Linked DNA regions of Arabidopsis thaliana. The protein of the gene in region 1 interacts with the protein of each later gene in a pairwise test. Each region holds a gene or a part of one and is shown in the gene's direction. Other genes may lie near its edges. The genes, in order: AT4G32190, CYTC-1 and TRFL5.

The links.
Region 2: the proteins of AT4G32190 (region 1) and CYTC-1 interact in a two-hybrid assay, tested with the Arabidopsis thaliana proteins (one large-scale study listed by BioGRID).
Region 3: the proteins of AT4G32190 (region 1) and TRFL5 interact in a two-hybrid assay, tested with the Arabidopsis thaliana proteins (one large-scale study listed by BioGRID).

The regions. Positions count from the first base shown.
Region 1 is NC_003075.7:15,541,256-15,549,251, forward strand, and holds AT4G32190 (Myosin heavy chain-related protein), read left to right. Parts: upstream 1-3,544; 5' UTR 3,545-3,796; coding exon 3,797-3,859; intron 3,860-4,145; coding exon 4,146-6,434; 3' UTR 6,435-6,602; downstream 6,603-7,996. Other genes in the region: PANK2 (pantothenate kinase 2), read right to left, coding at 1-38, 207-338, 465-558, 635-729, 855-974, 1,277-1,393, 1,648-1,700, 1,820-2,035 and 1 more; ASY2 (DNA-binding HORMA family protein), read left to right, coding at 7,585-7,629, 7,813-7,909, 7,980-7,996. UniProt on the Arabidopsis thaliana protein: Required for the initiation of starch granules biosynthesis in leaf chloroplasts. Involved in determining starch granule number and size in chloroplasts.
Region 2 is NC_003070.9:8,076,254-8,083,955, forward strand, and holds CYTC-1 (CYTOCHROME C-1), read left to right. Parts: upstream 1-3,033; 5' UTR 3,034-3,130; coding exon 3,131-3,242; intron 3,243-3,258; exon of another isoform or gene 3,259-3,721; coding exon 3,722-3,855; coding exon of another isoform or gene 3,856-3,859; intron 3,860-3,934; coding exon 3,935-4,033; 3' UTR 4,034-4,321; downstream 4,322-7,702. Other genes in the region: AT1G22830 (Tetratricopeptide repeat (TPR)-like superfamily protein), read left to right, coding at 668-2,779; AT1G22850 (SNARE associated Golgi protein family), read right to left, coding at 4,418-4,465, 4,662-4,772, 5,142-5,208, 5,447-5,670, 5,761-5,853, 5,951-6,003, 6,125-6,563; AT1G22860 (Vacuolar sorting protein 39), read left to right, coding at 7,147-7,702. UniProt on the Arabidopsis thaliana protein: Electron carrier protein. The oxidized form of the cytochrome c heme group can accept an electron from the heme group of the cytochrome c1 subunit of cytochrome reductase.
Region 3 is NC_003070.9:5,402,138-5,410,133, forward strand, and holds TRFL5 (TRF-like 5), read left to right. Parts: upstream 1-3,887; 5' UTR 3,888-4,000; coding exon 4,001-5,173; 3' UTR 5,174-5,349; downstream 5,350-7,996. Other genes in the region: AVP1 (Inorganic H pyrophosphatase family protein), read left to right, coding at 1-48; ATPC2 (ATPase, F1 complex, gamma subunit protein), read right to left, coding at 492-1,652; AT1G15710 (prephenate dehydrogenase family protein), read left to right, coding at 2,368-3,444; AT1G15730 (Cobalamin biosynthesis CobW-like protein), read right to left, coding at 5,398-5,535, 5,644-5,748, 5,894-5,979, 6,066-6,181, 6,364-6,455, 6,551-6,601, 6,766-6,962, 7,063-7,243 and 2 more.

The DNA.
Region 1 (7,996 bases):
CGCTTCAACCCAAAGCGAAGGGCATTCAAGTACGATATCTACACAGCAACAAAACAAATCAGAAACTCATAATATTCTCAATAACTTATCACATTCACTGATCAAAACTTCCAAATGGAATCATGCTTAGGAATAAAAATGAGAAACATTTAGGCTTATTCTTGCTTAAGAACTTCGTTGAATCCTTTGGACTCGCCAATGCATACCTGCCCAATATTGTATGAAATCATCCGCAACAGAGACAAGGAAATATCTTCAGGTCTGTAATCGTCCAGTTCCTTATTTTCAGATATCGCCTTGCCAAAACTAGAAGCTATTGTTGAAGCAGAGAGACCAATCTGTATGATTGATTAATGAGAATTACTAGAACAGTAGTAATAAAGCATTCTGAGTTTCAATAGGAGAGTAGTCACATCCTATAACAAATGAGATCACATGTAGTTTGATGCAAAGTTGACTCCTACCTTGGAGTAATCCATGCCACCATAAATATCACCAACGAGCATGTCAATGGCACTATTATCTCCCTTTTGGCTGAGTTCTAGCAATTCATCAAAACTGAAACAAAAGAAAACAGTGTAAGGTATAGGAAACAAAAATATAAAGAAATAATGTAAAATCAGAGCTCTGTAACCTCTTGCACTTCGTTAGAAGTCTTCCTAAGCCCCAATAGGTACCACCGCCAACATTAGTTCCACTCACACGTTCAAACTTTCCTTCACCATCAACCTATACTTTGAAAAGCCATTGCATGAAATCTACAGGTCCATGCAATCTTCTGACCTCCCAATTCAGAAGTTCAAGGAGCCAAACACACACTGATTGTGAAAAAAGTAGCAAACGTAAACAAATACCTTGATTATGCTAACACCAGATCCAACGTTCACAAGAAGATAAGGATACAAGTCATTGGGATCTATCTGTACAAATTCTTTCTCACCCTCCATGTGCGTAAAGGCTTCATGTCGAATAGCCTGCAGAAAATGCAAGAAACTAAGAATAAATTCAAAACATACACATGCAAATAGACAAAAGAAAAGTAGACTAATTGCAAAATTTCAATAGTCTTAGCAGAACTTTAAGTATAGTAAAACACACATACAGATATCCAGCTGTTTTTCTCTCATGTGACTCAGAACTTCAACAAACAAATCAACCGGTCACATATAATGAGAGTCTGTCTTTACGTTTCTATTTCGCAAGTGCTAGTAATAAAAGGTACAAATATGTATGCAGAGACAACATAAATGGAATGTTGCATAAAGAAAGGTCTTACCTTGAGCAAAAAATTTGCTCCAGAAACAAGACAATGCATTTCATCTTCTTTCTCAATACTAACGCCCAGCCGTTCCTTGAACAAGTCTGCAAATTTAAATGCCCCGCCACCTGTGACCTGAAAGATACACGTACGCTTGACTCATATGTTTAAAACAAGTAATAATCAACTAATCAAAGCCGAATCAGCAAATCACATTACATGGATATACAAGACTTATAAATATAAAAAACGTTTCACCTAAAAACAATAATTATGAGGGTCTTAAATGTTATCTGGTATCTCAAATGAAAGAGCGAGCTAAATATATGCAGAAGGAGCCTCAAAAGGTGATAAAGATAAAAACAATCAAGTCATAAAAATGCGATTACCTTGATAACACCAGTCCCCAAAGGCAAGGTCTTTGAACTCCAAGGATAAGGATCTATTCATTTAGTTGAAAAGAAATGGAGAAGAAGACGAATTGAAGAGTAAATCACCAGAAATTGATCTTATAATACAAAACAACATTTCATACACTGAAAAGGATAAAAGTAATAATACCTCGGCGATGAAGCTGCTTGGAATGAATAAAATCCAAGCACTCATTAATTTTGTGAGTCTCAAACTTGACAAAATGAAGTCTACCACCAAGAACAGGATAACTTCTCAAGTTGCCATTGGTAATACCCAATCTCTCCTTGATCGTCCTCTTCCGCTTATCATCATCATTAGAGTAGTCCTCATGTCGTGAAAAATACAACAACTTTATCAAAGAACCTGCAAATAAACTTAAAAGGGTTCATAATTCTCAAACATAGCACTTAAGAAATAAACATCGAAATTGCCAAAACCAAGAAGTGACACCAAATACTACTGGAAGAACCACAAGCACTAGATCAATGGTCAACTACAGTGAAAATAAAAAAGAAGTGAAATTTGTTGTCACCTCCGATATCAAGAGCCAAATGAGAGATATCATCAGACTGATTAGGCAATAAAATGGTGGGATCTCTCTCCTCGAGGTTCCCCTGAATTTCGGCTTTGCTTAGATCAAGCTGAGGTCTAGAGCCTGATCTGTGGATCGGAGTACCAGAAGTAGAAGGAGCCATATTTTTATCAGCAGCAACAGAAACCTGAGATTTTGCTTCAGCTTCTCTTTTATTGTCAAGAATTGGATCATACTCATCCTCTTGACCCGCCATTTTTTTTTTTTATTAAAAAATAAAAAAGGAACCCAACCAAACCCAGAAAAATCGGATCACCAACAATTGCCTAATTCTCCCAAACCACCACAAAACCCTTCCTTGCAAAGTTTAAAAAGTCAAACGACACGAACTGATGATGATAAGACTTTCCAGGGTAAAGAAGTAAACTGTTCGAGCTTTTGCTAATACGATTATACGACTAAGCTTAGAATCGCTTAAGCAGGCTGAAGCGGACCTAACTCCAAACAAAATTTGTATTTATATATAATTGTTTGTTAACTAATTAACTACCACATAAATTTCCCAAAAAAAAAAAAAAACTACCACACAAATTTGTAGTTTTTAATGAATTTGTAAGTGGATTAGGTTTGGTGTTTCACAATAATGACCAAACTCGAACTCCACTTGCCACTTATGAGTTTTTCCAAGTCATAGATGAGGATTACTGTGTTGGTTTCGATATCTTAATTAATCCGTCACACTTAATTCTTTATGTTTTACGATTTTTTGAAGTTTAAGATTTTGCTAACATTACACTATTCACGATAAATCACTTTTTCAGATTTAAGATATTTTTCGCCGGAATTTAGAAGGTAGGATATCCTTTAAAATGCTTTTGTGAAGATGGATTATATTATACAATTGGACTATTTGGTGTAGATAAAATCTTATGTGGGAAACAAATATTTTAGGAACACTAAACCAAAAATACCATTGTTACATTTTTTAATGATAAAAAAGTTCACTTGCAAATGTAACAAGATACAACCTCGTTGGGTTGATATGTTAAGAAAACTAGCTGATGGATTGGTTTTTCATTGGGTCTATTGGGCCAATGTCATGGGCCTGATGACTTTTATTCAGTTTCTTAAATTTATATTCCAGTTTAATATAACATACTCTTTAGTGTGTAAGCATTTCTAACCACGCGACTAGCCGACTACGCGAAAGAAAGAGAATTGTCATACTAGAAAACCGTTACCACGTACGTAATTAAGAAGAGTCCATTATTTTTACAAATAGATCCCTTGGCCGTGTATTTGGACAATGCCGACATGCATCTTATGAATAAGGGCAAAAAGGACTTTCGAGTTTACTGGCGACCACAACTCGCAAGCCAACGCGAGCCTCTATTTATTATTTTGTATCCTTTTTTTTGGTAAAAGAATTTTGTAACAATATCCATTCCCTAGCTAGATTCTTCTTCTTCTTCCTTGGATTTGTTCTCGTAAGCATTCTTCTCCAAAACGCCCACTTGTTAAATTTGATCCAGTGGATTTGGGTTTTGTTCCGTCTTTAAGCTCCATGGCGATTGCATAATTATGCTCTCAGGATGGGTTTCTCTCAGGCCATTCGCTTGAATCTTGCTTCCTTCTCCTCTCCCTCTCCCTGCGATGTTTGTTTCCTTACCTTTCTCTATATTATCCCCTATATTTTCATTTATATATCGCTGCTGATTCACAACACTTTACTTACTCTTAACTTTATCAAACTTGAATTTTTGACTTTTGCTGGCCTTGTTCTGATTGTTCCTTGTTCTGGCTTAAAAAGATTGCAAATTTCAATACTGTTCCTTTAATTTGAATAAGTTTGCTTGCATCCATATTGATTAGTGTCTGTCCAAAATAATCAAACTTTTGATTTTGATTTTGATGTCGGCCATATGATTTTTTCTTATGCAGTATTGTTTGACAAGAGTAGTAAACCATAAGCAGAAGAGTCTTGTCGCATTCCCGAGCATTACAAGGAGAAAGAGACATCTTTTACTGAGTGTTCAATCAGTCTTGCACAATACAAGACCCAACATCAACGACAATGGCTCAGCTGAGTCTGCAAATGTTCTTTTCGATAAATTATTTGCTCGGACACACAGATTGGAGAGACAAACCAATCAACACTCGGTTTATCCTGACGATGATGATCTCCCCTATTCAAACCTTGGCGTGCTTGAGTCTGACCTTGAGGCTGCGCTAGTGGCCTTGTTGAAAAGGGAAGAGGACCTGCACGATGCTGAGAGGAAGCTTCTCTCTGACAAAAATAAACTTAACCGGGCAAAGGAGGAGTTAGAAAAACGTGAGAAAACAATCTCTGAAGCTTCGTTGAAGCATGAGAGTCTACAAGAGGAGCTGAAGCGGGCAAATGTGGAGTTAGCTTCTCAAGCCAGGGAGATAGAAGAGTTAAAGCATAAGCTAAGGGAAAGAGACGAGGAACGTGCTGCTTTGCAATCGTCCTTGACTTTGAAAGAGGAAGAGCTAGAGAAGATGCGTCAAGAGATTGCAAACAGAAGCAAGGAGGTTTCTATGGCTATTTCTGAATTTGAAAGCAAGTCACAACTCTTAAGCAAAGCCAACGAAGTTGTCAAGAGACAAGAAGGTGAAATATATGCACTTCAGAGAGCTCTTGAGGAGAAGGAAGAAGAATTAGAGATTTCTAAGGCTACGAAGAAACTTGAACAAGAAAAGCTTAGAGAAACAGAAGCCAACTTGAAGAAACAGACAGAAGAGTGGCTGATAGCCCAGGATGAAGTGAATAAGCTTAAAGAGGAAACCGTGAAACGTTTAGGAGAAGCCAATGAAACCATGGAGGACTTCATGAAAGTGAAAAAGCTTCTGACTGATGTAAGATTCGAGCTTATTTCTTCTCGGGAAGCTTTGGTATTTTCCAGGGAGCAAATGGAAGAAAAAGAGCTACTATTGGAAAAACAATTGGAGGAACTCGAGGAACAGAGGAAAAGTGTGTTGTCATATATGCAAAGCTTGAGGGATGCGCACACTGAAGTTGAAAGTGAGAGAGTAAAGCTCAGAGTTGTTGAGGCTAAAAATTTTGCGCTTGAGCGGGAAATATCGGTCCAAAAAGAATTGCTGGAGGATTTACGAGAGGAGTTGCAGAAAGAGAAACCATTGTTGGAGCTAGCTATGCATGATATATCCGTTATTCAAGATGAGCTTTACAAAAAAGCTAATGCGTTTCAGGTATCACAAAATCTACTTCAGGAGAAAGAGTCAAGTTTGGTGGAGGCCAAACTAGAGATTCAGCATCTGAAGTCCGAACAGGCTTCTCTAGAACTATTACTGCAAGAAAAGGATGAAGAACTCGCTGAAGCTCGAAATAAATTGGGAGAAGTGAACCAGGAGGTAACAGAGCTAAAGGCACTTATGATCAGTAGAGAAGATCAGCTTATGGAGGCAACTGAGATGCTGAAGGAGAAAGATGTCCACCTTCACAGAATAGAAGGTGAGTTGGGCAGTTCCAAGCTGAAAGTCACTGAAGCTGAAATGGTGGTGGAAAGAATTGCAGAATTGACGAACAGACTGCTTATGTCAACCACCAACGGTCAAAATCAGAATGCAATGAGGATTAACAATGAGATAAGCATTGACTCAATGCAGCAACCACTAGAGAAACCTCATGATGATTACGGAATGGAGAACAAACGGCTGGTGATGGAGTTAAGCTTCACCAGAGAAAATCTACGGATGAAAGAAATGGAAGTTCTAGCGGTGCAGAGGGCTTTGACATTTAAAGACGAAGAGATCAACGTGGTCATGGGAAGATTAGAAGCCAAGGAGCAGGAACTCAAGAAATTGAAAGAAGAAACGATCAATGACAGTGAAGATTTGAAAGTGCTATATGCCTTGGCACAAGAGAGAGTCGGGGAAAAAACAATGGGTGATCTGGCCATAGAGATGCTTCAGCTTGAGGCAGCTAACCTTGAAGTTGAAGCTGCGACCAGTGCATTACAGAAGCTTGCAAAAATGAGCACGGAACTGTTAACTCAAGCTGACATGAGCATTGAGGCCGACACAACTCACACTGTAATGCCAGAGAGAGGGTATTCAGAAGGAAGTAATGAGTGTCTTGGTGAGGTAAAAACAGAAGTTGTCAGGCTCTGGTCCTTGACAGAGAAACTCCTGGAGAACGCAGGAATCGTTGCTGGTACATCTACATGCATGGAAGGTGTAATTTTATAAAGCTTTGATTAACTTTATAAGCCTAATCTGTATGATTCTTTTGTGGATATGTAGAATTACTGGCGGTTAAATATGTTTACTTGTCACTGTGAGCAAGTCTATTGGAGAGTCTTAATCAAGAACTCTTTGCATTTTATAATAATAAATATTAAATAATTTAAAGTTTAGAGTTTTTATTGAATCTTTACAATTTTTTATTGTCCAATGGTGGTGGAGACTTTAAGAGGATTTCTTCAAAAAAAATAAAGATTTTAAAATAAAATATTATAAAGTTTTTTATTTGACAAAACTTAATAATTATTAGAAATAATAAAATTGTAAACATGCATCATGACATAAAAGCAAAAAAATATATAGAAATGAAAATTTGAAAAAGGATAATATTTAAGCTTGATTCGGACCAAAATTTTGCCATATATATACTCTGATACTCAATCAAATCATATTTCAATCGTTCATGCTAAGTACAAAAGTCGGGTTTTGATACTTAATAATTACTACAAATATTAAAATTGTATACATACATCATGATATAAAAGCAAAAAGAAAATATACAAATCAAAAAACTTAAATAACGACTAGATTTAAGCATTATTAAAACAATGCATAATCCTTTTTTTATATAGTTTTTTCTCAGCCAGTCACAAAGCAACACAACTAAAGTCTTTAACAAATGTTAAAACTCTAAGCTTAGGATCAATCCTTAGCCTAATATCTTGTTTTCATTTATTTTTATTACATTGGAGGTGGTCTAAGTGATCTCAAAACTAAGTGATTTTTAATGATTTGTATTTGTTTATTACGTAGATAAAATTCAGCCGAGAGTGGCTGCCACCACAAGGTTCTTGCCAAGGGTAATCTCTCGTTTAGGTGTCGTTGATAGAAAAAGGTTTGCGACGTACCCTGGGACTTATGCCTACAACAGCATGTATACACAGATAGTAGGCCGTTAGAGTGTAACTGATAGGATCACCCCTACTAGCATCGCCAAATACCAACCTTGCCCCTAAATTTCCTTCTCTATTTTTTTGAGTAACTTTTTTATAAATTTTCAAACTCGCTCCCGCTTCTGAGTCTTTTTCCGTACGAAAGAGAGAGAGATACGTCTATGCGATTCTAGGGTTTTTCCGGCGAAATTTCTCAGCCAAAGATGGTGGTGGTAAGCAAGAACAACGAGCAGCAATCGCTCATTTTGGTAAGTCACCTCTTCTAGCTCCAATTTCTCGTTCCTTGCTGGTGATTTTCGCAGCTGGATTTAGTTTGCGTGTGTAGCGTCCTGCGTCTAGAGATGGATTTTCGTCTTTCGATTCTCAATCACGCCGATACATATATTTTTGGCTCTGACTTGTTTGTTTTGTTCTTCGTTGTGTTGAAATAGACTACGGAATTGCTCCGTACTGCCATCTTCAATATCAGTTACATCAGAGGCCTCTTTCCCGTGCGGTATTTCAAGGATATGTCGGTTCCTGCTTTAGGTGAGACACTAACCATGGAAGTTTCTACAACTGTTTAATGGGAACCTGACGCTTTTGAATCACAATATAGATCTGAAGATGAAGAAG
Region 2 (7,702 bases), on another chromosome or scaffold:
AGTATATATAAAATCAATATTAATGAAATAATGCAATTAATAAATTACTTATTATAAGTTCTTATAAAAAAAATACTAGTGACCTCATTTTGTAATATCAAAAACTGGTGCCAACTTCATCTAACACGATTTATTTAACCTTGGTAATATTTTGAAAAAACCATAAATTTATAAAGTTGTTACAGTCAGATTTTAGTGGGCTAAAATGGGTTACAATTGCAATGGGTCTGGAAGTGGACAAATCTAAACAAGCGGCCCAAATCATCTGAGCACATGCCAGAACATTGAATAAATGTCAAAAAGGAGTCTCTTTCTACATAACCTTCACGCGCGGCTACTCCTACTTTCGCTTCGTCCGGTTCCGTCGATACTGTCTCCGAATCACTGTCTTCTTTCCTTTTTCTTCCTACATGACATCTGTCTTATCTCTTTTATGTTTCTCTAGATGTACTTATACTTCCATGTTTCGTCTGTATACGGTATGTTTCGCTCACCACATGTTCGATGAAATTCCTCAACGAAACTTTTTTTTTATCTTTCTCACCTTTCTTCCTTTGACTTTCAGACGGAGAAGCAAAATTGCTTGAACTTTCGCTTTGATGGATCAAACTAGTCTTGGAACAATAATCAAAATCCATTCGTTGCCATCATATGCAGCTTACTGTATATGCCGTCTTCTCCTTCTCGCTCTATACTCAGAGGTCTCACTGTATCCGAAATTTGCAAGTTTATTCCTCAATCGTGGAAACAGCTGCCGAGACCCATCTCAGAAACTTCCAAAACCCATGATGATGAATCAGTTCCACAAGTGCTTTTCAATTCATTTAGACATTGCATTTCCCATGGTCAATTATATGAAGCTTTCAGAACTTTCTCTCTACTTCGCTACCAGTCTGGTTCTCATGAATTCGTTTTGTATTCATCAGCTTCTCTTCTATCTACATGTGTGGGTTTTAATGAGTTTGTTCCTGGCCAGCAACTTCATGCTCATTGTATCTCGTCGGGTTTGGAGTTTGACTCTGTTTTGGTCCCAAAGTTGGTCACTTTCTACTCTGCTTTTAATCTCCTTGACGAAGCTCAGACCATTACTGAGAACTCTGAGATTTTGCATCCCTTGCCGTGGAATGTGCTCATCGGTTCGTATATTAGGAACAAAAGGTTTCAGGAGTCTGTTTCTGTTTACAAGCGAATGATGAGTAAAGGAATTAGAGCGGATGAATTTACTTACCCGTCTGTTATCAAGGCTTGTGCAGCATTACTGGATTTTGCATATGGGAGAGTTGTTCATGGCTCTATTGAGGTTAGCTCTCACAGGTGTAACTTGTATGTCTGCAACGCGTTGATATCTATGTATAAAAGATTTGGTAAAGTGGATGTTGCTCGGAGATTGTTTGACAGGATGTCTGAAAGGGATGCTGTCTCATGGAATGCAATAATCAACTGTTATACTTCAGAAGAAAAGTTAGGGGAAGCTTTTAAGCTTCTTGATAGAATGTATCTCTCTGGTGTCGAAGCGAGTATTGTAACTTGGAACACAATAGCTGGAGGTTGTTTGGAGGCAGGAAATTACATAGGGGCTTTGAATTGTGTTGTTGGGATGAGAAATTGCAATGTAAGAATAGGTTCTGTAGCTATGATTAATGGTTTAAAGGCATGCTCACACATTGGAGCGTTAAAGTGGGGGAAAGTATTTCATTGCCTTGTGATCCGTAGTTGTAGTTTTTCCCATGATATTGACAATGTTCGGAATTCGTTGATCACAATGTACTCAAGATGCAGTGATCTTAGGCACGCGTTTATAGTGTTTCAGCAGGTTGAAGCAAATAGTTTGAGTACATGGAATTCTATCATTTCCGGTTTTGCATACAACGAGAGATCAGAAGAAACCTCTTTCCTGCTCAAGGAGATGTTGCTCTCTGGATTTCACCCAAATCACATTACGCTTGCTAGCATTCTCCCTCTTTTTGCTCGGGTGGGAAACCTGCAACATGGGAAAGAGTTTCACTGCTACATCCTGAGACGCCAAAGCTACAAGGACTGTTTAATCCTGTGGAACTCCCTTGTCGATATGTATGCAAAATCCGGTGAAATCATAGCTGCAAAGCGAGTATTTGATTCGATGAGGAAGAGGGACAAAGTGACATACACTTCTTTGATCGATGGATATGGCAGGCTGGGTAAAGGAGAAGTCGCATTGGCATGGTTCAAGGATATGGACAGATCCGGTATCAAACCTGATCATGTAACTATGGTTGCAGTTTTATCAGCTTGCAGCCATTCCAATTTAGTGCGTGAAGGACACTGGTTGTTTACGAAGATGGAGCATGTGTTTGGTATACGCCTTCGCCTTGAACACTATTCTTGTATGGTTGATCTTTATTGCAGAGCAGGTTACCTGGATAAAGCCAGAGATATATTCCATACAATACCTTACGAGCCATCAAGTGCTATGTGTGCTACTCTACTGAAAGCGTGCCTCATCCACGGGAACACAAACATTGGGGAGTGGGCTGCAGATAAGTTACTACTAGAAACAAAGCCAGAACACTTAGGTCACTATATGTTGCTTGCAGATATGTATGCAGTAACTGGTTCTTGGAGCAAGCTTGTAACGGTGAAGACTTTACTGAGTGACTTGGGCGTGCAAAAGGCTCATGAGTTTGCTTTGATGGAAACAGATTCGGAGTTAGATGGAGAGAATAATAAGCCGATGAACGATGATTCTGTCATCAATCAGGAGCAAAGTTCAGATGAAGAACGTCTTGTAGAAGTAGGATAAAGAATCAAATTCTGATAGAAATATTTTATCAAACTGGAGAATCAATTTGTACATAAATCTTATATACAACAAGTTTTAATTGCATGATTTCCTGTAAACATAAGTTTACATGAACTAGGGGATGGTCCTTCGCAAGTATGAGTAACAAGCATAAACAGCATTATATATGAAATAAATATGAGCCCACCTAAACCCATTAAGGGCCCATTAAGATTGGAGATACTGCTTTTTTAAGAGAGGTCACTTTTTCCACAGTGAAACCCTAAGGAAACTTCGGCAAGCTCCAGAGAAACGAGAGTTCCGTAATCATTTTCTCTTGTTGTTCCTGATCGCGTAGCTCAAGCGAAAAAAATGGCGTCGTTTGATGAAGCACCACCAGGAAACGCCAAGGCCGGTGAGAAGATCTTCAGGACCAAGTGTGCTCAGTGTCACACCGTCGAAGCAGGCGCCGGTCACAAACAAGGTTTTCACTCATCGATCTCTCTCACTCTTGAATTCTATTTCTATGGTTGATTTTCGCAATTTATCTGAATTTTTATCGGGCCTTTGTTTTACATCGCTTTATAATCGATTTGTTCATGTTAATCAAAAATCTCTGATGTGATCTGGTTAACGGATTCTTCGATTAGATCATAGATCTGATCCAATAACCTCGATGTCTTACTCGTGTTTATCCTTAAATCTTCAGCTCAATGCATGTGACGAATTTCTGAGGTTTTTATATACAACTTTTCGCATTTTTGTGGAACTTGATTCTCGAATTCTAAGTAATGATACAACAATGATTTGAGCTAGTTGCGTCACAGATTCTCATTTTTTCTTGAAATTGCGTGAAATTAGAAAACACTGTTGCTCAATGGTTTCTATTGTTTTCGTAGCTTTTGTAGAATGTGATTTGCGTCACATTGTTGCTCAACACTTGACCTTGTTGTTTTAATATAGGACCCAATCTAAACGGTCTATTTGGAAGACAATCTGGTACAACTGCTGGTTACTCTTACTCTGCTGCTAACAAGAACAAAGCTGTGGAATGGGAAGAGAAGGCCTTGTACGATTACTTGCTCAACCCCAAGAAGGTTTGTATAATCATGTCATGATTGTTTCATGAGTTGTTGTTGTTAACATTGAGATTGATGGCCTTTTTATATGATGCAGTACATACCAGGTACCAAGATGGTGTTCCCTGGGCTAAAGAAGCCGCAAGACCGTGCTGATCTCATCGCCTACTTGAAGGAATCTACTGCGCCTAAGTGAATCTGATGGTGGATTGATTCTGAGTTGTTAAGTCTCTCTCAGATGAGGCTTTTTTACTTTGCTATATTCTTTTGCCAAATAAAATCTCAAACTTTTTTTGTTTATCATCAATTACGTTCTTGGTGGGAATTTGGCTGTAATGTGTGCTGAGGCTCACTTTATCGAGTACATTTGATTTTCTGAGGCTCATTTTCCTTTTTTTTGTCTAGAAAGCATTTTCTCACTTATTATTGGTGCTTAAATTTGAAGGACAAAAAAGATTCGAATTATATATCAACTATTAACAATAATGGAGCAATACATTTAACGTTGATACATGATACTCTGTTGGCGTTTTACAAATCCTAGAGAGTCAAAACCATTATCCAATCGCTGGCTTGTTTCCTACTTTGCATCTCTCTTCTCATCATCATCAATATCCTTTATAGCATCCTGCAACACACGGCAAGTAAAAGATATACATGAGACAGATTCATTTCACTTTACATCTTTTAAGTTTCAACCAAATGTGGGACTTTTCTGAGCTTATATGCTACGAAGCTTTGAACCAGTTGGTTTGATATCAGAAGTGGGAGGCAAATATAACGCAGAACAGAGAAAGAAAAGAAGTAAACAAGTATGAGTTTACCTTTGCAAGGCTTGTCACATATGTTCCAGCCAATGCAGTAACCAACAGACCCACCCCGAGAGTTAAAAGCTGGCCGTTTCCTCCAGGCAAGCCAACATTAGATTCTTCTTGCTGAAGCGACATAGACAGAAGATTGTCATTTGATGATTTTATGATGCTTGCCAGAGTCACCATGTATTCACAATTCAACAGGATATCAGACACAGTTTCTACAATTCAAGTTAACTTCCATAAGTTGACTAGCCTCCCTCGTATTGAGTACATGTTTACCATTCGATATCGATCTCCTTTTCATTAAGTCAAAAACAAAACTTTTAGCTGATGATTTTAGCTAGCTTTCTACCCTACACAAGTGCTGATCAACATGAACTTATTGTACACCATAGGCTTGAAATGAGAGAAGATAGGCATGTTTTTGTACAGTTCATTTTTTTGTGTCAAAGTGATATAGAGATTAGATAAAAAGACAACAGAACTCACAATGATTGCTCGTCCAAAAGCCCCGGCGCTGACATAAGCCCAAGAGCCTGGAAGCATACCCAACCAGCTGCAAAAACAGTATGATCCATGAATGAGTATGTAAACTCAGACTATAGCTTATCAAGTTGAAATCTTGTTCTCAAATGCAAAACAAATTGAATCAACTCCTGGTCAAGATTGCTTGAGAGTAAACACCAAGTGGACATTAAGTGCTGGGAACTAATTGACTACTACAACTCAAGTATCAAGCTTCTACAGCGGATATCATAGGGAAATAAGTATAACAAAGTTGCAAGAACACAGACCTTCCTAATACATAAGGCACAAACTTCACAGACGTCAACCCGTACAGGTAATTGCCAAGAGAGAAAGGAAGTAGAGGGCTTAGCCGAAGGAGAGTAACAACTCTAAACCCATTTTCACCAATCGCTTTATCAATGGCGAGGAACTTCTTGTTGTCTTCAACTAACTTAAGGATGCGCTCTCGGGCAAAATATCTAGCAATTAAGAAAGCAACACTAGCAGCCATCTAACACAGGAAAACCAAAATAACATATATCAACATGGGAAGGTCACTTGATGAGATTAAGGATTGTGTTCTTGGGAAGAATAAACTTACAGTTCCACTGATAGAAACTATGATAGTGCCAATGAGTGGACCGAAGAGAAGACCAGCCGACATCGTCAATGGGAGAGCTGGAATGGCTAGTATCTAACACAAATGATTCAAAAAACAAAACCTTGAAACTGGGGTCAATGAAGAGTATAAAAAACATCAAAAGCAGATGAAGAAGTATAAAAAAGCTTGCCTCAAGCCCAGCATAGACGGCAATGAATAACGCATACCCAGCCGTACCATAACCTGTTGTTTGATTCATCAAGAACACAAAACTCCATCAACTTACTTCTATCTAAATGCATCATCAATATCTAAAGGTCTATTCTCACTAAGTTCTATTAGCTTCTATGTATCGAATCGTTACCTTCGATGTAAGTGGAGAATTGAGTAAGGAAAGTATTGATCTGATCCCTGTAGACATATCCAACGCCGGCGAATCCACCAACAGTACCAATCAACAAAACTCCGGCTAAGATAGTACCCTTAATAGCAGCATCACCTTCCGATCCGCCATCATCATCGCTCTCAGACTTAACATCATCTTCGTCGTTTTCATCATTAGTGGATTTAGAATTGAAGAACCACCGGAGACTCTGAGGAGGCGGAGCGGTAGATGGGAGAGACTGTTGCTTCTTCTTCTTGGTTTGCTTTAGGGAAGAGCATGGTTTAAGGAAATGGAATCGTTTGTAGAGTCTAAAGGACGAAGAAGGAGGAGGAGGAGAGCAGAAGCGGGAGTTGCAGGTGAATGGAAGAGAAGAGGAGGAGGAGGATCTGAGAGTCAGACCTAGAGTGAGGCTGCGCATTCTTAAGCAGCTTTAATGGAGATGATGATGATGAAGACGAAGATTGGATTGAAGCAGTGCCATCTCAGTTTGGGCTTTTGGATTGGCGCGGCTTTGTTCTTGCCAAGTATCGTATTTTCGGATGGGCTTCTGGCGATCTAGAGCGCCACGTGTCTATCTGTTCTTAGGATCACGAAATTAAAATTAGTTTTCTTCCAGAAAAAACTACAAATCAAAAATTCAAGAAAATTGAATTTATATCGCATATTCGCATCAAATTTTTTTGCAACCAATTAATTCAGACAAAAAAACAAAATTTTTTTAGAAAATAACATTTTAAGGAACTTGATTTGTTTAGGGCTTAACTTGAAAATTAAGTTTTTGGCTTCAAAAAACAAAAACAAATATTATAATTGAACGATGCTTTAAACGACAGCGTTTAGTGTTTGTTAAGCTGTAATGGTAAGTCAAAATAACTCGAACGTGTCTGACTCTTTACTTTACCGGTAAGCGGCGACACTGATCACCGGAGTTTTTCAATCGCGGTCTTTCTTCTACTTAAATCCGATCACTACCATTGTACATCGTATATCTGGTTTAGGTCATGTCCAAATCTCGGGCAGTTGTGGAGCTCACCGCTCGTTTCGATCTCGGCGGCGACGATAAGATCCGAGCTTTATCTCTCTCACCTATCTCCGATTCTCAAACCCTAGTATACCTCGGAACCTACTCCGGATCTCTGATTCTCCTATCTCTCGACACTTTAACTAATACCGTCTCGCGTCTCGCAAGTGTATCGCTGAGCCCTTCTCCTGTTGAGTCTATCTTTGTACTCGGCGAGGAAAGAGGGAGAGTTCTAGCTCTCTGCAATGGTTACTTGTTCTTATTGGATTCGCTTCTTTCTCAACCAGCTAAGAGATTGGGTGGTTTATTGAAAGGGATCAATGTGATTGCTAAGAGAGTAAGAGGACGTGATTCGTCGAGTACTGACTTGTTGCCTTCTGAGATTTCAACGGATTCTAGCTCGAGTAAGAAGTTTCTTCAGTTGCTTGGTGCTGGGAATCTTGTGAGTGATGTTAGAGGTAATGATTCTAGACATGAGAGAGTCCAACAAGGTCACTATGTTTTCGCTGTTGCTATTGGTGAGAGAATGTTGCTGA
Region 3 (7,996 bases), on another chromosome or scaffold:
GCTCCCTTCTTCGCCACTCACGGTGGTATCCTTTTCAAGTACTTCTAAACTCAATCCGAGGGAAGAAGATGACGATGATGAAGAAGAAGAAGATGATGATGGCGATCGATTCTAAACTTTCTTTTTTACCATTCTTATTTTCGTTTACCGTAGGTGGTTAAAAAACCTTTTTTGTTGATGAGGCTCATTTAAAGAACCAACCAAATGATGTTTCTTTCTCTCACTCTCTGTCTTTCTGTTTTCTTTTTGTTCTGTTTAGAATTTAGAAATCCACCAAGTATTCGGTCGAGACTTGTTTTAGCCGTTACTTTCTGCTGCTTATATTTCCTAAATTGGTTGTCTTCTTCGAGACATAATTGGAATTTATTGTTACTGTTAGTCTTTTGTCGGCGTTAGGTGTAAACGATTCTCAATTTCTCATGATCTGTAAATTCTTTCATGACATTTATTACCACAAACAACAAATGATTTTACACAGCTGTAGTTTCTACCTAAGACTCTCGAAGAGCTTCTGCTCCAGCCACAATCTCCAGCAACTCCCCAGTGATCTTAGCCTGTCTCGCTCGGTTATAAGCCATCGTCAGATTCTTCTTCAATTCAACCGCATTATCAGTCGCATTACTCATCGCATTCATCCTCGACGCAAGCTCACTCGCTAAAGATTCCTGCAGTGCTCTTAGAATCTGACTGTTGAGATACAAAGGCATCATTGCATCAAGAATCTGAACAGGGTCTTGCTCAAACTGCATCAACGGTGAGATCTCAGGCTTCTCAACTTCAAGCTTGGTCCTTTCCACAGCTAACTTCCCATCTTTGCTCGTTAGCCTAAACATCTCATCCTCGATAGCATCAACACACTCACCTTTCACATCACAAGACTCTCCTTTCATCGACAAAGGCAACAGAGTGTGGATCACAGGATCAGATTTCACCAAAGACACAAACTTTGTGTAAACAAGCTCAACTTTATCAACCTCTTCACTGACAAACAAGGAAAACACATCATCTGCAATAACTTGAGCTTCTTTAGTCGTTGGGAAAACACCTCCTCCTTCAATACATTTATCAACATCAAATTCATCTCTCCGACTAAAATAAGCATTCCCTTTCTTACCTACACTTATCACAACACAGTCTATTCCTCTCTGCTTCAACTCTTGAACTCGCAGAGTAGCTTTCTTGGTCACTGCATTGTTGAAACCACCACACAATCCTTTATCGCCAGTAACAACAACCAAAGCAACTCTCTTCACGGGTCTAACAATGCTCAGAGGAAAATCAATGTCTTCTAATTGAGCAGATTGGTTAATTGAGTAGAGAATCTCCACAAGAGTTTCAGTGAAAGGTCTACCCTTTATGACTGCATCTTGAGCTCGACGAACTCTAGCTGCCGCCACGAGTCTCATCGCTTCCGTTATCTTCTGGGTATTCTTCACACTGTCGATTCGTTCTCGTAACTCTCGGATTCCAGCTCGAATTTGAATTGAGGGCAACGGAGATCTCGACGAAATCCGGTTTGGTGTCAGTGATTGAAACGGATAATAACGAACTGGTTTCAAGGTAGCTATGAAAGAGTAGGACTCTGAGCTCGAAGCCGAATTCGAATTCGAAGGAGACGACAAGAGCCAAGAGGTCGAGATCGAACCTGTCATTTTCGTTTGGGAAAGAAGACCCTGAACTTGAGAGGTTTAAGATTTCATCTTCTCGTGAAGAAATGAGCAAAGAAAGAGAACTTGAGGGGTTTTCTGTAATTATCATGTTTATTAGGGGTCAGTATATAAAAATTACTACAAAAGTCAAAATTAGAGTTTTTGTTTTTTTTTTTCTATGAGAAAAACGAGGGAAATATCAATAACCCTCCTAAATCCTAATAAAAATTACTACAAATAGCCAAATTAATAGAAAACCAAAAAACAACAACTATAGTCAGCATATGAAAATTACGAAATTTTCTTTTTAAAGATTCATATATAGGAAGAGATTGAACTTTAAAGTAACAAATCAAAATAAAATTATGGACAAATAAAAACTCTAGTCCTTCAGAAAAAGAAATATTGTAAATGCGGGTTACTAAATACAAATGAATACAAAACAGTACCTACAAATTTCCTTGGAACGACTTTTAATTTTGACCTCAATTTTTTATTTCCATTATGGTCCTTGTGTTGTTGTGTATTTAGCATTTTGTTTTTCTTGGGTCAATCAGCATCACCACGTTTAGGCCACGACATAAAATTGATCCGTTTATTTTTGAGGCTCGCTCGCATCTTCTTCCTCCTTTGGCGCAACCGCTTCTTCCTCTTCTATTCTCACAGATTTCTCTAAGCTCCCAACTTTGGAGCTAAAACTCAATCAACACTACTCACAATGCTACTCCATTTCTCTCCGGCGAAACCCCTCATTTCTCCACCCAATCTCCGCCGCAATTCACCCACATTCCTCATTTCCCCGCCGCGATCTCTTCGAATTCGAGCAATCGACGCCGCCCAAATCTTCGATTACGAAACCCAACTCAAATCCGAGTACCGCAAATCCTCTGCTCTCAAAATCGCCGTCTTGGGTTTCGGCAATTTCGGCCAATTCCTCTCCAAAACCCTAATTCGACACGGCCACGATCTAATCACTCACTCCCGCTCCGATTACTCCGACGCCGCAAACTCAATCGGAGCTCGTTTCTTCGATAACCCTCACGATCTCTGTGAACAACATCCCGACGTTGTCCTCCTCTGTACCTCAATCCTCTCCACAGAATCAGTCCTCAGATCATTCCCTTTCCAACGTCTCCGTCGTAGCACACTCTTCGTCGATGTTCTCTCCGTTAAGGAATTCCCAAAAGCCCTCTTCATTAAATACCTTCCTAAGGAGTTTGACATTCTCTGTACTCATCCAATGTTTGGACCTGAGAGTGGTAAGCATTCTTGGTCTGGCTTGCCCTTTGTCTACGATAAGGTGAGAATCGGAGACGCAGCTTCAAGACAAGAGAGGTGTGAGAAGTTTCTAAGAATTTTTGAGAATGAAGGTTGCAAGATGGTTGAAATGAGCTGTGAGAAGCATGATTATTACGCAGCTGGATCGCAATTCGTGACGCATACTATGGGAAGGGTTTTGGAGAAATATGGAGTTGAGTCTTCGCCGATTAACACCAAAGGTTATGAGACGTTGTTGGATTTGGTGGAGAACACATCGAGTGATAGCTTTGAGCTTTTCTACGGTTTGTTTATGTATAATCCGAATGCTCTTGAACAGTTGGAGAGATTGGATATGGCTTTTGAGTCTGTTAAGAAGGAGCTGTTTGGGAGATTACATCAGCAATACAGGAAGCAAATGTTTGGTGGGGAGGTTCAATCGCCCAAGAAAACTGAGCAGAAATTGCTCAATGATGGTGGTGTTGTTCCTATGAATGATATATCATCATCATCATCATCATCATCATCATCATCTTAAGATCACAAGTTTGATTGGATTATGCTAGATTCAAAAATAAAAAGTTGTGACTTTTTTGGAAAACGTCAAGAGTGGAAAATAAAAAAGGGATTTTGGTGTGTTCATATGTATGTTGGGGTCTCTTTTGGCTTGGTATCAATAAACTTGTCTTTTTTTCTCTAAATGTATCTGTGGAAATGCTTATCCCTCTGGTCGCCGGAAACAAATACGGACAAATTGTCTCCTTCTCCGGCCATATTTGTATTGGATCAACATTGTATTGCTCAAAAGTCATTACTGTTTTTCTCTGTCTCCAATGATCTCGGGTCACCCACCCGATTCGGATCAGGACAACATCGTTTCGTTATGGGCCGATTATATAATGGGCCGCTTGAATGTCTCGTCTTATTTAATTAAAAGAAAAAAACACATTTTAAATTTGAATGATTCACACGTGTGTTGTTGCCACCATAGTTGGTCGGAGCTTTTCCTCTTCCCAAAATTGTAACCCTAACCACGCACCGACGGCGAAAACTGATCGCGGGTTTTCGCATCTTTTACTTGCAAAGTCTTGGAAATGGAAGTGATGGACAAATGGGTAGCTGAATTTTTCCTCCGACGCCAACTAAATCCTAGGGTTTACGCTTTTCCACTGTTATCGGCTCTGAAACCAGTAGATTCCGACGACTGTGTAAAACTCAAGCTAACTGCTGTTTTGCGGGATATCTCCAATTCCATGATTCAAGGTACCGTAGACGAAGGAATGCTTGATCTCCTCGAAATTCTTGAGAAGCTTCTGTTACAGGAACATTCGGTTATCATGGGATCTCTCAAATCTGCGTATTGCTGGACTGCTGTGGAATGCACGCTTAGGTTTATGTGGCCAGTGAATGCTTCGGATGGCTTCTTCGGTGATGCCCTTGAGAGGATTTGGAGGAATCGGATTGGGACATTGAAGGAGAAAGAGAGCGACTTGGTGACTCGTGAGTTGTTGAAATGGGAGAGTGATCTAAACAAGGCGTTTGAGGAACCTGAGATTTACCAGAAGATTCGTGAGACTAACATCAGGTACAATGCCATCTCTCATCTTAATCAGCTTCTCAAAGAGCAGTGGGCACTACTTGGATGTTCTTCTCTTGAATCAGAAGCTCGAAAGAGGTTTCTTAAGCGTAAGGATTCACCATATGCTTCCCGGAGAGGAGGTAATAGAGAGAAAGCTAATGATGTTGAAGAAGTGGGTGGTGTGGAGAATCCTGATGGGGTTGGTAAGGTGAATGAACATGAACAGGAACACGAGCCAAGTCTTAATAAGGGGGAAATGTTGGTAGCTCGAGAGCTTAAGGATTTTTTGTTGGAGATTCAAAGACTCATCGACCCTATAACAAGGCAAGATCAAGAACCTAACAATGCAATGGAGCATTCAGTTGATGTCACTCCTCAGCCTGATGGGGCAAATAGGACTGATGCAGAAGATAGTGAGGGAACATCATCGTCTAGAAGAGTCAGGCCTCATCTACCAACCCCGGAACCTCTGAATGTATCACCGTTGAAGAAAGGAAGATTAGAAAGACCGCGTCCCAGAAGGCCAATGAAATTCTGGACTTCTGAAGAAGTGGCAGCTTTGAGGGAAGGAGTTAAAGAATATGGAAAATCATGGAAAGATATCAAGAATTCATACCCTGTTGTTTTCGCTGATAGGAGCGAGGTGGATTTGAAGGATAAGTGGAGGAATTTACTTGGTCGTCAGTAGTAGGAATCTTACCTTCTAACTTATGGGCATTTTGGTTTTGGGATCTTGTGTAGTTTTGCCGCTTGTGTTAGAAAGGGACTCACTTTTTGTACGGTGAAGGCTTTAATATGTTCTTGATTCAGGCTCTTGTAGTTAGTGTCAAGCTTTAGACGATATTTCTTGTTCAAAAATCTATTGACCAGTTGATTACAAAATGGAATGATTTTAAATATTTGGTCCTATAATCAAATCAAGCAAGCTCTGAAACCCATCTCTAACTCCTCCCGGTTCAAATTCTTGCCGATGAAAACAATCTTGTTGGTTCTTGTTTCATCTTTTCTCCATAACCGGTCAGGTGATCCTTCAAATATTTCATGAACTCCCTGTTCCAACCATTATAAACCACAAACGTCAGAGATAATTTACATCCCAAGGCTTCGATGCTTTAGAATTCATCCGAAATGATCAAAATAATGACAAAGGTTGGTCACCTGAAACACGAATCTCTCGTCCATGTCTTGTACGGAGAGGATACCTTTCATTCTGTAGATATCCTCACTACGTTGGTACAATAGCGCCCCAAGCCACATGTTAGCCTGATCCATTTTCAAAACTAAGGTTATAGATGATGCAAGTAATCAATCGCACATCTCAACAATCGTTTTAATTATAAGTAACACGTCAGGTGCTACAGTTTTATGCATCACATGTGACACAACTTGAGCCATATTGGGTTAATACCTTCTCGAGGTCTAAGTCTCCTTCGCAAACTATACTGACTGAACCAACACCAGGGTCATGGGTGTGATCATGAGAATGGTGATGCTCTGCAGTTTCAGAAGCAAACTAATCAATGCATGTAGGCGATCGTTATTAAGTAATAAGGCCATTATTTGGTAACACTATAACATACCGTGTTCATGCTCATGCTCATGCTCATTGTGGTGATCATGGCAGTCATGACCATGGTGATGATCATCATGACCCTCGCGATCTTCTTTCTCTTCTTCATTCACAGAGCTTTCAATTCTGGAAAGATAAAATAGTTGGCCACCAGCAATAAATCAGAGTAACAAAATCAGCCCTCTTAAACCAGGAAATCCACAACCAATAAACCATAACAAATGTAAGGAGCTACAATTCACTTTGGACAGAAGTTTTCGGAGTGACTCGTAATAAGATTTTTAGTAAGACGTAAAATAAAACCGGACCTTTCTAGATCAAACCCTCCAATTCCAAGAACATAATCCAAGTCAACCTTCCCATACTTTGTCCGCTTCATGTGAGCCATGCTGTTTATGGTCTGGAAATAACCACATCATAAATGCTAACGCAGTGCACAGAGAAAAATAGATGTTCAAAGAGAAAAAAGAAAGAATCAGAAGAAGCAGAACCTACCTTTATCCGCTGCATCACTGAAGCTAGTTCTGGCTCACCAACAAGATCAGTCTACAACAAAGTACAAACAATTTTCAGCTTGTATGATATGTCGAGGAGAACATACATAGCAGACCATTGAAAAGCTTCTACTATAAGCATCCACCACACATTTCAAATACAAGTTATGGTGATGTTAATCATGAAAATTAGGTCGAAATAGAACTTCACAATACCTTGTTAACAATGATACGATCCGCGTAAGCTATTTGTTCAACCGCCTCATTGACATAGCCTTCAGGTTTGACCTCATCTAGATGCAAACGAGCATGTTTAGCATCAACCAGAGTGACAACCCCATCCAGCTTGACATCATTGAAAATTTCATCCTCAGCATAGAAAGTTTGAATAATCGGAGCAGGGTTAGCCAATCCTGAAAGAAAATATACATAATATATTCATTTATTCTTTAATAACATAGTAGTTGGTTCTTAACGAATCATGTAGCTCCAGAGTGATAGAAAATATTGAACCTGTCGTCTCAATAACGATATGGTCGAACCTTCCTTTCTTGGTCTGGACCATTTCAGAAATCATCCTCACAAGATCACCCCTAACAGTACAACACAGACAGCCATTGTTAAGCATCATTATATCCTCCGCTCCCGCAGTTTGAGCTGCCACAAGTGATCCATCAATGTCGACTTCACCAAACTGAGAATTCACATTTCAGAACAAATTAGTGAAACCATAAAACATAAAACAATCTCTATTCAGCTTCTCAGACAATACCTCGTTCTCAATCACGGCTATGCGCTTCCCATGATCTCCCGTCAATATATGGTTTAGCAATGTTGTCTATACACTCAGAAAAAAACAATTCCAGTGAAATTCAGAATCTGATCGCTCAAAATTGAGCAGGAATTTCCGAATCATGAACCCTAGATTAGCCTCACCTTACCAGAGCCCAGGAACCCGGTGATTATAGTGGCCGGAATTCGATTGTCGGGCAAAATCTCACTGGCAACATCGAAGATATCTTCATCATCTACAACGGCGAGCGAGGAATCAGAGGCAACGGCGGAGTGGAATCTCCGACGGCTGTCAGAGTAAAGCGCCGCGGAATAGAACGATGACGACTTCGTTCTGAGGGAAACTGTGGCTGTACTGAGCCTAGCAGAAGCGAACCGATGGTTCAAGGAGGTATTAGCTCGGGGAACGATGAAAGCAAGGAAAGTCGTGGCTATGTCGAGTTTCAACAGCGTCGCCATTGTTATTAGGGTTCAAGGTATTCTGTGAAGGTTCGGACATAGAGATAGACAGTTAGACACTTGCTAGCTTCAGAATTTACGCGGTTTTTTTACATTGTTTTTTTTTTCCGGTTCCATCCAACGGTCGAGATTTGACTTGTATTATTTCGAAAGAAAAACAAAATGGTAAAACATAAATGTATGAAAAAGGATTAAA